2 linked regions of the Mytilus edulis genome follow. The protein of the gene in region 1 purifies or fractionates together with the protein of each later gene. This does not show direct contact. Links are inferred from orthologs where the notes say so. Each region holds a gene or a part of one and is shown in the gene's direction. Other genes may lie near its edges.

Region 1 (7,436 bases):
GCTGAAAAGTCCCGGAACAATGTATCTAGTTGAATAGTTCTTGCGGAACAGAACAACTAGTTACACCGTTCCGAATATACAATATTTCGTCCTTTTTGTAGACAGAGGGGAAGAATGAGTATCAGTATATATAAGAGCAAATCATTAATTTACAAGAATACCCAACGCACTGAAAGGGGTTTCTTTGGGGACAAATATGAAAAAGGGGCATGGAACTCTATTTTGGGGGAAATAATGAAAATGTATTTAAATTTTGATGTTCTGCGGGGAAAGAACAAACTCCCCCAGCAAAATTTAAGTTGTATTTCATAGCTCACATAAACGGAATAAGTTGCATCATCATGCAAATTATTCAGTATTCATAGTATCCTCAAGCTTAAGAGAGGGAAGAATACCCCCTCCTCATGTGGGTCTTTCCATCAATTCTTCAAATGAAACTTTGTGACTGGTTGATAAGTTCCGTTGGAACTTTTGGGCTAGTTTGTTAGTTCCGGTTTTGACTAATTTGGCAAAAAGGAACTTTCTAGCTAGTTGATATGTTCCGTTGGAACTTTTCAAGATCTTTCAACTATTCACTTTGTTCCGGTGGAACTTTTAAACCAGAGAAAGAACAAAGTACATTGTAACTAGTTAATAAATTCCTCCGGAACTTTTCGGCTAGTTAGTTCTTTCCGCCCGGGACTTTTCAACGTCGGAACAAAAGAGCATTTACATTTATTACGGCTGGTAGGCATTAAACTGATTATACATGTCAGAGTGAACATTCACTGTCTCTGTGTTTTTACAAAACCATAGTTTTATAGAATTGTGAGTTGCATGGAGTGTTGTTTCGTTGACACTCATACCACATCTTCCTATATCTATTAAAGGAGCACTAGCTACGAAATACATAAAAAAACATCTGATTTTTTTTTTTGTTCAATCATTAATGAAAGTGAAATAATAATTAACTATGTAAGCAGCAAGTAGGGTTCAATTTTTTTCAAAATAAGCGAAGAAACATCGATGGTGAGTAATGCAGTGAATAATTCAACCTCATTGAATCCGTATTCATGTGAATTCAATTTAATTACCCCTTAGCTAGAGATGGATTATGTATGATTGATGCGTGTTAGGTTATTAAAAGAAAAGCATGTCGACAATGATAGTGAAACAACGGTAAATCATTTAATTGACTGATTCGATTCACAAAAAAAAAAATCATTCTTACTCAGGTAAAATCGAAAATTAACTTATTTTTGTACCCTTAAAATTGAAATCAAACAGACATAGCAAAATCCATGTGTACGAGTTCCACATATCAATTTATATTTATGTTTATGTTTGTGTCGTTATGTGACCATTGGTTGTTTTCGGTGTCATATCTCAATAGTTAATTAGATGACGTCTAGACTAAATTGAAATACACACGAAACGAAGATTCATATTATCGATCCCATGCCCTGTAAATTGTTTATAATTTGAATAAATGTTGTACATTGTTATAATTACATTAGATGTATGTTTCATTATAATACGTTATTCTGATTGGCTAACTAGCAATCTCGTGATATTCCTTAATCAATTGCATTACACAATGCAACTTTTCATTCATGATGACACGAGGTCCCACAATAAAGTGTACAGGTAAATGAATTAAAAACTTGATAAAAGGCGTGTTTTCATGATCCTATAGGTAAAAATGTAATTATAAGTATTGAATGCTTTTTTTTTGGTAACTTTATAAATAAGGTTGTAAAAGCGTTGACCGTGTGCACATTTTTAGTATGAAGCGCTTAAATTCCGCGCTTCATACAAAATGTACTTCGGTCAACGGTTTTACACCCCAATACATTTACAAAAAAAGAGCATTCAATTCTTAAATAAATCTAATATGAGAATTAGATTCAAATCGGTGAACATGAATTTGACAGCTAGTGCTATATGAAAAAAATATTCCTAACATCAATTTGTTTTGAGTTTTAGGGTGTTTTAACGGCATTATCATGTCACGATAACATTAAACTACAACATGTTCCGCGGCCATCGGCTCTATGCATAGCAGTCAAGGCAATCGGAAATGCATACCCCATAAAACTGTCGTATATCTTCCAATTATAACACAAAAATGTATGTCTTTATCCGGCTATATCCGGCTACCTATGCTCAACTGTTGACCTTAGAATTACCATTGCACTTTTAAAAATTCAACTAAAATTCTATTGTCGTTTGGAATCTCTTAGCTTATTTCGACCAGATGCCAGAAATATCTGATACACAGTAGGATAAACAAACACAGTAATACGTACAGTAAAATATAATTCAAAAGAAGTTCGAGTTCGAGGTCAAGGTAATATGGGTTATACCATTTGCATCTTCGCGAGTCAAAGGTTGCGATCCAGATGAGATTATTCAACAGTTTGAAGAGGAAAAATTGATGAATAAAAAGATGTGATCATGATTGAAGCTAGCAACTATGTGTCATCGTCAGCTTCCAACAATCGGAGCAAAATCCATGCCGTATAATAAGCTATAAAAGGCCATGAAATAACTACAAAATATCACTTGTATAAAAATGTAAACGAAAAAATTATAACGACCTGATTGTAATAAAGAATACAAGAACAACATAATATACGATTTACATGTACAAATATGTCAGATATGCATAAAGAGTTATATTAGTTAATTTTTATTTCATTTTCATGTACAAATGTAGAGTGTAGTTCGTGTTCACCTTCACAAATTGCATCTGAAATAGATGATTGTTGTTCGATGTTTAAACGTATATAAAGGAAGCTTATGCAATCTAACAACTATAAGATACAACACGTACGGTTACTGGCATAATCTTTAAAAAAAATTCGTAAAATGTATGCCTTTTCAGTATACATTTTTTTCTTCTGTTAAATTGGCGATTTCTTTCCCAAGTAGTTGTTGTTCGAATCTAATACCAGACAAATAATACTATTTATATATGTCTCTGATCTGATACTTCACGGATAGTATGATTTCTTTCTTAGTAGTTGTTTTTCGATTCTAATCATTTGACTTCACGGATATTTCTTTCTTAGTAGATGTTGTTCGATTCTAATTCTAAGAGGATATTTCTTTCCCAGTAGTTTTATTCGATTCTAATACTAAACGGAAGGTATACTTTTATAACGATTTAAATTTGCATTCTTCAAAAGAATTACATATATTTGATGTTGCAAGGCCGCTTTTATGATAATTGCTGATTTTTGTTTATAAGGCTATATAATTTATAAGACATCTTGAATCTTCAAAGATTTAATTTTGATATTGGAATTGGACAGTTAAGCTAATATCTGCTCTATATCATAGAGTAGACTTTATTGTTCAGAATATATACTTCAAGTTTTGTTTGCGATAAAAATCAAAATTATTTTCATCAATTTTTGTCCGGATTCATGGCGTATCTTTTTCGATTTTGTTTTGTAAATTATAATCATTAAGACACTTCCTGTTTACATTTTTTATAAAAGAAAAGTAGGTTTTTACCAAAACAACTCTATTTCTCTAGTATTACTCTACTCTATTGAGGTGTCATTGATTCGAAAAAGGTTTAGTTGTATGAGTAGAAATTTGAATTTGAAAAAGGGAAATAGGGTTGTATATAAAAAAGATTCAAATGGTAAAAAAGAACAAAATGATAATGAAAATGAAACAGGATACAAATTTTTTTTGTATCCTGTTTCATTATTATGTCAAAATACAATTTATTGCAAACATAGTCATATACATTTTATACAAATATCTATTTCACAGAAGACACAAGCTCTACTGAGTTTTTTACACTGAAAATGCTCAACATTAAAATAAGACATGACATTTACACACATCATTACAAACAAATGTATCATGAATGCGGGACAACTCGGCCCCAGAACAAGTTGGACTGAGTTCAATCAGATCCTCTGTTTATGAAAACAACTTGAACAGTCAATCAGTCAACTCAGAAACGTCTATAAGGACAGCTCAGACAAAGTACTTGACCTGTGTTAAAAGAGGATTTACACTATTATAGTATTGTATACATATAAACGACTATAAATTATCAAATGTGATATTTTACATGGCAATCTCATTGCTGTACATGTATTTGCAAAACAGGAAAACAAATATTGTAATGTGTGAATACAATATTTCACTAATCTTTATTAATTTATTACATGTATTTATACAGTATAATAAAACTTGTATCCCTGACTGTCATACATATTATAATTGAAGCAAAAAATAGTCGGTTGAGTTTGCTTAACTTTAATATTTGAATTCTTCATAAATTATTTTAAAGTCATCTTTGACCTTGAAAAATGACAGCTAATAGTTCTACAATGAAGTATCTATAACCATAAGAGTTTGTGCTATAATAAAATCAGGCATTTCATTGCTCTGTTAGGAAATAGAGACTAAAATATTACATTATATTGCAATAAAACATTTTCTTTTTGCTGTTGGACTCATCAATGGCTAAAAACAGACTCGCCTTCAAAAATCCTTAGCGAGAACCCTGAAACTTGTTATGTTTTACATCAAAGTACATTGTACCATTTTCATGCTTTTGGTGTAGATTCTTATTTCTAATTCTTCATTCACCAATGTTCACATTAGGAATCTATATTTTAAATAAATCTTAGTGCTCAAATCATACATGTATGTATCTTATGTGAATGACACCATGATTTAGTGTACATCATTTGTACACGTATATAGGTTTTACTTAGTGCTAAATTTTATATATATTGTTGTCTTAGTTTTGTTTTGAAATTGGAGTACTAAAAACTTTGTTAAAGACTTCTCACTAGGCACAGACTTTTTCAGTAAATCTTTTATTTTGCAAAACTGTAGTTTTATACTGAGTCTGACTTGTCATTAAAGACAACCCCAGTAGACTTATTGATGGTCTGACTTGTCTATATAAGTCCAAGTTGTCTTAGTTGGAGATGGTCTTAGTTGTCTTAGTTGGAGACGGTCCAAGTTGTCTTAGTTGGAGATGGTCTTAGTTGTCTTAGTTGGAGACGGTCCAAGTTGTCTTAGTTGGAGACGGTCCAAGTTGTCTTAGTTGGAGACGGTCTAAGTTGTCTTAGTTGAAGATGGTCCAAGTTGTCTTAGTTGGAGATGGTCTTAGTTGTCTCCTGACTGGCTTGTCTTGCACCCATATAATCATAATAATTTATACTTCACAAGCATGCACATGTGCAGTGTAACCAAAACTCTGTCTAACCGACAAAATGTCAGACAAAAAATCATTCGGTCAGACAGAAATTTTAAGATTTTTTAGTTGAATATAAAGTAGAAAAGTTCAAATTTCTCTTTTGGTCAGACAATCCCTAAAACAGTTTGGCACAGACTGCATGTGACATTTTGATACAATAAATGTGGCCAAGGTTTACAACAAACATATATGTTCAACAAAGTACACATTTATTGCAGACTTGTGCAAAATCATTAATCTAAGTATCCATGAACCTGCTAAATTTTTTTTTAAATAAATAAAATTAGTATTCTGAACATAACTGAATCCACAATAGTTTATTATCATGATTATTGTCATGTTTTCTGCTTTTGAAGAGAAATACAAAATACAAAATTACTCAATATATGTTATTTTGAAAACATGTGTTATATTATATATAAGTGTCTAAGAATGTAACTTTAACACACTAATGAGTGTTATAAAATTAGTTTGTTATATTTTATATATTATTCACGCAATATTTCGCTAAACAAATTAGCTTCATCGGGCATGAGCATCTATCTAGGTTAAAAATCGTATGCATGACAAAAAATATCTTTGTAGCTTGATTGTTGCTATTTTTAGACACTATATGTATATATATGTATATATATAACTCGTCTAAACATCAACCCAACATTGTATATATATATATATATATATATATAAATGTTACATAGAACATGTTATGTTATTTCAGTTTTATGAATATAACCAACATGGGAAGTTTTGAGAAAAACACAAGCTGGACAAGCAGAGATACAGAGATCCCAAAGTTTCCTATTCAAAGGTTGGAACCGTCCATACAGAAGTTTCTTAAAGTGATTGAAATGGACTTGGACAGGTTACATAAACACAGGCTTAATATTGAAAAGGTAATTTTATGACTGTGTATGACACACAGTGTTCCAGCTAGCATGAAATGGAGGGGCGCCGCGCACCGCCCCCGAAATTTTGCGCCCCTCTGCCTTTTTTAAGCGCCCCTGCGCCCCTCTGTGCCCTTTTGAAAAAAAGTTTAAAAAACGATCTTTTTTCCTCATATCGTCGCCATTTTGTTGAGTTCTTTATACACACACTTCATTAAGACAACAGATTAAAATTGTTGACACTTGTTAAACTGATTATAATCACCTATTTGATTAGAGTCAATTACTTAATCAGGTGAAATTTACGACCCTGTCTAATCCCTTTACCCTGAAGCACCAAACATCGAAGTTAAATAAATTGATTATTTTAACACCTAACGATGCAAAATATAATTTATAAAATAAATGTGAACGGTGTTCATTTCTATTGTATTTGTTATTTATTATGTCATTTAAAAAGAATCATTCCAATAGGTCAACACGCAAAATGCATGAAACATGATGTAACTTTGACCTCCGTAGCAGAGTTCAAAAAATTTATGGGTCACTGAATATTCACAATTCAGATCGTTTTTGTTTTGATGTTTTTATTTTTGAAACTGATCTTTCAAACTAGTTTTAATCCAGAAGAAAGTAAAAACATTGCTTGACTGTACCTTTAGTTGAATATCTATATCCAAATTAAATTAATTAAAACTAATCCATGATCACAAATTGAATGCTTTGTTTACAATTGTTCAAAGCCATGTGCTTTTTGGCGGGAAAATTCGGGAAACCCCTTATTAACAGGAAACAGTTACATTTCATTGTTATTTATAGACAGTAGGAATTTCTTCTAAGATTTATTCATGAAAAATTATAATAATTTCTTGGGGTGAAACTGATAATACTTTTTTTATTAAAATAATTTACATCTAGGGGTATGGAAAGGGGGGCTGTTTTTTTTTTGTTTTTTTTTCAATAATATTACAAATATATATATATAAAGTTCACCAGTCTGAAAATACATGGTTAAATGGATTTTAATTCTGAAAAACTCATGTTTATTTAATTCCTTTATTATTTCCATCATAATAAGAAACAAGCTACATGTATAAGGTATTTCAAACATATATTTTTGGCTTTTATATAAGAACATTAAAGACTATTAGTATGTATGTGCCTGCAGTAAAAACAAACCTGGTAAAGGCCTAAAAAAATTCTACAGGGCCCTTGTAAAAACTTTTGAATCCAGACTGGCCTTCAGAGAAAATGTTAAGTATTGTTCCTGACTGTATTGCAGATTTATGTGAAGTTTTTAAACTGACATGCACAATTCATTTCACAAGTGT
Region 2 (7,701 bases), on another chromosome or scaffold:
TATTCTACTGCACTTTGTTCATAGACAACCGATAAGATCAGATCTATTCATTGTCGAAATTGATTGGATGACCAATCAAATTACGTTTGAGTGAAGTGTAATACAAGACAAGAGGATAGATGTTTATCATTTTTGACATTTACGTCCCTATCTTTTCCTCGGATCCTGAATCCACCCTGCTCAATACACCTAATCGCTATTTATTCCATTCCGGATAAGTTCTAAAATTACACAACTTTTTCATCCAGTTGAAGCTATCTGGCCGAGTTCACTTGAAACTCTTCAATCGAATTCAGAGTTAAAAGATTATCACGTGAACGCATTAGAGTTGATATTCGGAACAACTCTAAGTCACTCTAGGGTAAGGCCCCGACCAAGCATAACAAAATAAAATATTCTCATTGGTTTGACGTCATTCAAGAGTTTCTCGAGTTTAACCCTGACTCGGTTAGGGTTGGAACCAGGGTACGAGGTGTTAACTCGAGTGGTTCAACTTAAATCGTTTTGTTGAAACCCGAGTAAGTAAAGTTAACTCGAGAGTTTCAAGTGAACTCGGCCTCTCAGGATCCTGTTTAAACCGGCAATTCACCAAGCATGATACTTTTTAATGAGACCTGTTAAAACTACCGTAAATACTTCAAACAAAATATTTTTTATGCCCCACCTACGATAGTAGAGGGGCATTATGTTTTCTGGTCTGTGCGTCCGTTCGTTCGTCCGTTTGTTCGTTCGTCCGTCCGTCCGTCCGTTCGTTCGTCCGTCTTTCCCGCTTCAGGTTAAAGTTTTTGGTCAAGGTAGTTTTTGATGAAGTCGAAGTCCAATCCGATTCAATCGACTTCAAACTTAGTAAACATGTTCCCTATGATATGATCTTTTTAATTTTAATGCCAAATTAGAGGGTTTACCCCAATTTCACGGTCCACTGAACATAGAAAATGATAGTGCGAGCGGGGCATTCGTGTACTGGGGACACATTCTTGTTTACTTTAATTTTAATTTCGAAAAAAGTGGATCATACTCTATTAATTTCTTGATGATCGCTTTCTAAAGTTTTCCTCCCTCAGCTCTCTTCTAATGACCCCTATTTTCGGCGGCATGACCCAAACAGGAAGTTGTGTAAATGACTGTTTTTCCAGGATTGGACTAAATAGCGATAATGTGTATTCTATCTCAAAAATTGAAATAGACCAAAAACGAAGTTGGTAACCATTAAGAATTTGAGTGACTTCAGTTTGATAAGCAATTTCAATACTTATATAATACATTAAATCAGTTTTGATAAGAAATTTCTTTACACAAGTGGGAAAAAAATAAAGTTATGTTTTTTATAGGTTTTTTAATTATTGTTTCAAAAACAATAAAAGATTTGATATAAAAGATACCACATTTTTGCTAAGAAATAGTGATTTTAAATGAAACAAATTAAAAACTGTTGAAATTGATAGACATCAATTAGCATGAAGTATACAAGATGCGAAGCAATGTTTAAAGGGCTATAATGGAAGCCCAAATATGAGTAAAGGTACGAAATTTAAATTATTCACGTTGGCGTGAGCTGTTAATATACACATGCTAATTAACTACTTTGTTTTGTTATGTGTGGCACATATATACATATCTACGTCGACATGATCATGGATTCATTTTCAAATATCTTGTAAATTAATTTCAGAGCTCCAGATAGGCTGTGTACATGTATTTGAAGATTATGCAATAATAACAATCAAAAATCAAATTCACTCAAAAGTATTACATTTATTTAAGAAAACAGTGTATGGCCATCTAAAATTATTGCTTGTTACATTCATTTGCTACATGTATAAATGTATGTCTTTATTAAGATATATCATGTTTCAAGTCAATTACTTCATGAAATGGTGTTTTGTAAAACTAAATTAATTTAGGAGCTCTGGTAATACAAGGATTTAATATATAACAGAGAAGATATGGTATGAGTACCAATGAGACAACTCTGCATCCAAGTCACAAATAATTATAGGTCAAAGTACGGTCTTCAACACGAATGATTGGATCACACCGAACAGCGGGCTATAAGGGAATGACCATTTAACTTCAAAGGGGTATCTTTTTATGCCCCACCTCCGATAGTAGAGGGGCATTATGTTTTCTGGTCTGTGCCTCCGTTCGTCCGTATGTGCGTCCGTTCGTCCGTATGTGCGTCCGTTCGCTTCAGGTTAAAGTTTTTGTTCAAGGTAGTTTATGAAGAAGTTGAAGTCTAATCAACTTGAAACTTAGTACACATGTTCCCTATGATATGATCTTTCTAATTTTAATTCCAAATTAAAGTTTTGACCCCAATTTCACGGTCCACTGAACATAGAAAATGATAGTGCGAGTGGGGCATCCGTGTACTTGGGACACATTCTTGTTTTTCCTAAAAAAATATTCTGATTCCCAATTTGATGAAAAACAAATTCTGACGTCAGACACGCGAATCAATGAGTTTGTTTGTAGATAGAATGATGTTTTTTGTGTTCTGTTTATAAATTGTTCCTTTTAATATTGTTACACGATGATGACTGCTGTACCCATATTTTGACCATTTTATTTATTATATATATATATGTCTGTTTAGTTCACGCATTATTGTAAATATAACGGAATTTGATGTGACTGTCAACAAAGTGAGAGGTTTATAGAGCTTTAAAACCAGTTTTAATCCACCATTTTCTACATTTGTAATTGCCTGTACCAAGTCAGGAATATGACAGTTCTTGTCCATTCGTTTTTGATGTGTTTTGTCATTTGATTTTGCCATGTGATTATGGACTTTCCGATTGGATTTCCTCTGAGTTCAGTATTTTTGTGATTTTACTTTTTCTGGTAATTTTCATGATAAAAGGTCATTGTACATATAATAATACACCTTTCCTCTTAAAACTTTTTGACTCCTTTTTAAACCAGTCCTTTTTATGGAAGTGAATTGTGGGGTCTGTACATTCTTAATCCGGGAAAAAGATTATCACCAGGTTCAAATGATGATTTAGAAAAAAACTTTTTTTTTAATTTTGCACCTGAAAACTTTAAGGATCACATTCGATATTGTAAATTTGTACTTGGTGCCACTAAATATGCTTCTAATATTGCCAGTATGGCAGAACTTGGTCGTTATCCAATCTCTGTATTTGTTATTCTGCTGTCTCTTAAATATTGGCTATATTTGTATAAAGACCCTCTTTTGAATTTTTCTAAATTAGCATATAAGTCAATCAAAGATGTTGATTGTACCTTTCCATGTACCTTCAATAAACACATTTTTTCAGTTTCTAAAATTCATTGGTTTTGACCATGTCTGGAACAATAAAAGAACTCTGTCAGAAGGAAAACTCATATCTGCAGTGAAATAGAGATTACAAGGAAGATATCGAAAACAAAATTTTAATGTTTTTCAGGTGAAAACCAAAACAAATTACGCACCTATTACTAACAAGTTAAAAAAGGAATATAAGCCTAAGACTTATACAAAGTTGAATATCTCAAAAATATATATTAGACAGTTATGTAAATAAAGAATTCAAACAATTTACAGATCGAAAAAGGCAGATATATATAATAATACGCCTTTGGATCAAAGGATATGTAAACATTGTCTTAATAACAAATTTGAAGACGAGTTTCATTTTATATGTGAATGTAACCTTTATCAAGAGAAGAGGGAAAGGTTTAATGATGACATTGTTAAGACTAATGTACTCAACCATGTCAACAGATTTCTTTTATATGTAGACAAATTTATTTTTATTAGAAATTCATCAGTTGGAATTAGTGCATAATATATATTGATAACGGTCTATTGTGTGTTATAAGTGTCACAATTGCTGTCTCTTTATGTGTTGTTTTGTGGGTTTTTGTTTTAGTCCGAGATTACTCTGACGTCCAACGGCTGTTTTGCCAGACAAGCTGCGGCCCCAGCTTGTCTGTCAAAATAGCCGTTGGACGTCAGAGTAATCTCGGACTAGGTTTTTTTCTGTGCTGTCATGTAATTCAGCGATGATCTTTTTGAATTAAATTTTACACTGAATGAAATGAGTTAGTTCAGAGGCGGATTTAGGGGGGGCAGGGGGCCCGGGCCCCCCTTTTTGGGAAAAAATTTGGTTGCTTATATAGGGAATCACTGAAGCGTGACTGGAGCGGGGCCCCCTCTTAGGTCAGTCAGTGGGCCCCCACTTATGAAAATTTCTGGATCCGCCACTGTAGTTAGCCGGTTTATACTCAGTTTTCTCCATGCAGTGGAGAAAATTCGGATTCATATAATCTTTGTCTGACGGTAGTGAACTGGAATTAAAGTCTGAGATATGCATAAAAATTTTGAATAACAATCTAAAGTCGTAAGTTATGTCGGAGCTCTGCGGCCTGTGGTACTTTAATTACAGTTTACTGTGAAATCCTTGCCGCTTGCTCGGTAGAAGTTTGATTATATTTTGGGTTGATTGTGTGTGGTTATCTATGATTTACTCTAATCAAACGATTGCCAGACATGACTTCTGTCAGAATATGTAAAAATAGAAAAATAAAGGCAAATATTATGAAATTAATGCTGAGGTTCAAAATCCGGAATATGAACGGAACTTGGCCTCGTAAATTAAAAATTTGAATAAACCGGAAGTGGGTTAACCAAAACAAAAAGATTTTCAGTCAGATTTCTGTCAAAATTTGCCTCAAACGCACATAGGGTAACACAATATATTGAAATTTTATAGATATTGCAAAAATATGATAGTGTTCTTCTTTAAGAACTAAGTTTTTTGTAAATGAAAGAAACTAATGAGGGAATGAGTAATAATCACATGACACATTTTGACAGGTTGGTGAAGATCCTCACCTAAAGGGTACTATCCTCATTTATTGGCATTATACCCGATATCGTGTAACAATCAACCAAAATAAGTAAGATAACACATTTTGTATTTCATCATAATGGCTGACATGGCCGCAAATATCACAATATTCATATACTAAATTGCAACATTTTCCCCTCTTAGAAAATACACCTTATCGCTATTTGTCTGCCATTAGTGGACATCACACAGGTTCTCGTAAAATTTTGAAGTCATAATACATAATATCTGACGCCACAGTGGAAAAGTGATTGTTGTATGTATGACGTCAATAGTTCAAGCGGCACAGATTCTCGAGTCAGCCAGGATAAGCGATAAGGTGTATACATTTTGTATGTTGTATCCTATTTTCTTGGTTATTACATACAGTTTAACTCATTTTCAATATATCATGGTTGAATTAGAATTTGATGAATTTTTTTATAGCATGTTGTTTATGGCTTCGGTCAGCTTGTTTGATTTCAAAACCAAAACAAACTTCAAGACAATCAAATACATTACTGTTAATTTAGAAATTATTGTGTGCATTTATTATTGTGATTTTTTCCATTTAGACTAAAATGTGATTTTATTTTTTACGCTTTTGAGAAAACTTCTGTTTAATTAGGACAAAATATTTCTATATATTTTAAATTATTGCGTTAATAACTCTGTGGCTTTTTTCAGTCAGGGGACTTACTGAAATAGGTGATTTTTAAATCACTTATTTGAGTAGCAAAATCGTGGTTTTGTCACAAATTGGAATTTTGTATTTTTTTCCAAATTTTAAACACATAGGGTTAAATAATAATTTTTAATTAGTAAAATTTAAAAAAAATAAACTTTTAGCTTCTTTTAAGTAGAAAGGTTTCTACCTTTGATGCTATCATTTAGCTGAAAATTCTATTTTAGTTGAAAAAATGCTATAATAATGGCTTTACATAATAAACTGATACTTTCTTAAAAGATTTTTCCCAGCAGTGGGAGTATTTTTCCTGTGAAGTTCAATGTTTCATCTTTCAGATTATGTAATAAAATTCTACTGTTCGTGATAAAAATCTCACTGTTCAGGGGTGTTGAAATTAGTAGGGATTATTAAAAGAATGATACTTTAAGAAGTGATTTTTCAAATGTTTTTGGGAAGGAAATTGAGGTCATACTTAAACAAGTGATTTTTATGTCATTATCCTAGATTCAGTACAAGGTCATCACCTGAAATGACCTGGTCATCCTTAGACAACACAGATGTTGGTTATGATAAGTTTAGAAACATAATTAGTCCCTGGATCATTAGTATTCTATATTTAAAGCTACAATAAAATTAAATCACTTCTTCTAGTAATTAATTTGTACTACTTAAATAGGTGATTATTAAAGAAAGACAACTCTAACTTCCAACCTTTATGGAAATAATGTAACTTAAATCAGTGATTTAGAAAATCACTTATTTAAGTAAGTCCCCTGACTGTTTTTCGCAATGATAAAAACCTCGCAATAATTTCTAAATTTACAGTCATGACAGTATTATGTCTTTGTAGAAATACATGTATCGTCTATCTTAACTTATGAGCAACAAGCAGAAAGAAGCAACGACAACCCTTATTCGACAAAGACTCAACATGGTACGTGCATCTGTGATTTTTAGAAAAAGAATAAAATATTCTGATATTATAATTATGTTATCACTGTCAACTTTTACATGTTTTATTAAAAAGTCGTATCATTATTTTTGGAAACTAATCATGCTGATAGAATGAACCAGGCAGCATCCAGCCCTTTTTCTAAACCAACCCAGGATAAAAAAAAGGGGGGGGGTCCAACTATATGACCCTGTTTAAATGCATTGATCATCAAGAAAAAAGGTGGGGTTTCAACCCCCGGAATCCCCCTCTGGATGCGCCACTGTGTACAATATGATTATTGTGATCCTTACCTTGAGTACATTGTGTAGATCTAATACAACTACATGTACATGTAGATGTACACAAACTATGAGTGCTTAAAAACCATTATATACATGTTGTACATGTACAACACTAAGGATATAACTCTATAGAGTTGTTACAGAAAAATAACATAAATTTGTTATTGTGGACTAAAAAATCAAAGAACTGTGATAACATATATGTATGTTACATGTTTCAAAGGGACAATATACATCATTATTCTAATTAAAATGTATACAAGTTCTATTGATATTACTATCGTCTTTATGTATACTTAACTATAGAAAGATATAACACTTCATAGTTTTCCAAATTTGCATAATACACCTACATTGTATGTTCATGATGTTATTACACATGTTACAGAAAAAATATGCCTGTAAAAACTAACGGGTGCTATCACAGCTTCTCTATATCACTTCAAAGCATTTGCTCAGACATACATCATGCTTAATTACAATTTATTTTAACTTATTGTAAGAAATAATTATCAGAGCATTTAATGAGATTCTGAGCAATCTTCCCAGTAATTCCCAAAGGTCTCATATGAAATGTTACATGTACAAACAAAAAAATGTACATTCCTTTAATAATTAAGCCTTGTTATCCTAGCTTAGTTTATCCCTTAAAAGCCTTGTCTCATTGATTTACCATACATGGTTAATCAAAAATGTATATATTTAATTAAAAAATTAGTTATCAAGGCTATGCATTTAGTTTCTGCGCAGTCTCAAGAGTTCCCTAGAGTCCATTATAAATTAAAATATTTAACAAATAGAAAAAATGTAACAAACATGCGTTATTACATTGTACATGTACAGAATTAGAAAATTTAAGGAATAAAGAGTACACAACACATGAAAGTATCTGTAATAACACATGAATTTTATTTTCTGTAATAACCCTATAGAGTTATA

Evidence for each region. Proteins that work in one complex are often made in the same cells at the same time.
Region 2: the proteins of syntaxin-17-like (region 1) and vesicle-associated membrane protein 7-like purify together in Drosophila melanogaster (affinity purification with western blotting; 4 studies listed by BioGRID, with this or other methods). This does not show direct contact. The link is inferred for Mytilus edulis from reciprocal best matches to the Drosophila melanogaster genes Syx17 and Vamp7.

What each region holds. Positions count from the first base shown.
Region 1 is NC_092357.1:27,499,372-27,506,807, forward strand, and holds the start of syntaxin-17-like, read left to right. Parts: upstream 1-4,343; 5' UTR 4,344-5,640; intron 5,641-5,919; 5' UTR 5,920-5,922; coding exon 5,923-6,114; intron 6,115-7,436.
Region 2 is NC_092351.1:17,222,086-17,229,786, reverse strand, and holds the start of vesicle-associated membrane protein 7-like, read left to right. Parts: upstream 1-4,595; 5' UTR 4,596-4,655; exon of another isoform or gene 4,656-4,825; intron 4,826-6,376; exon of another isoform or gene 6,377-6,460; intron 6,461-7,701.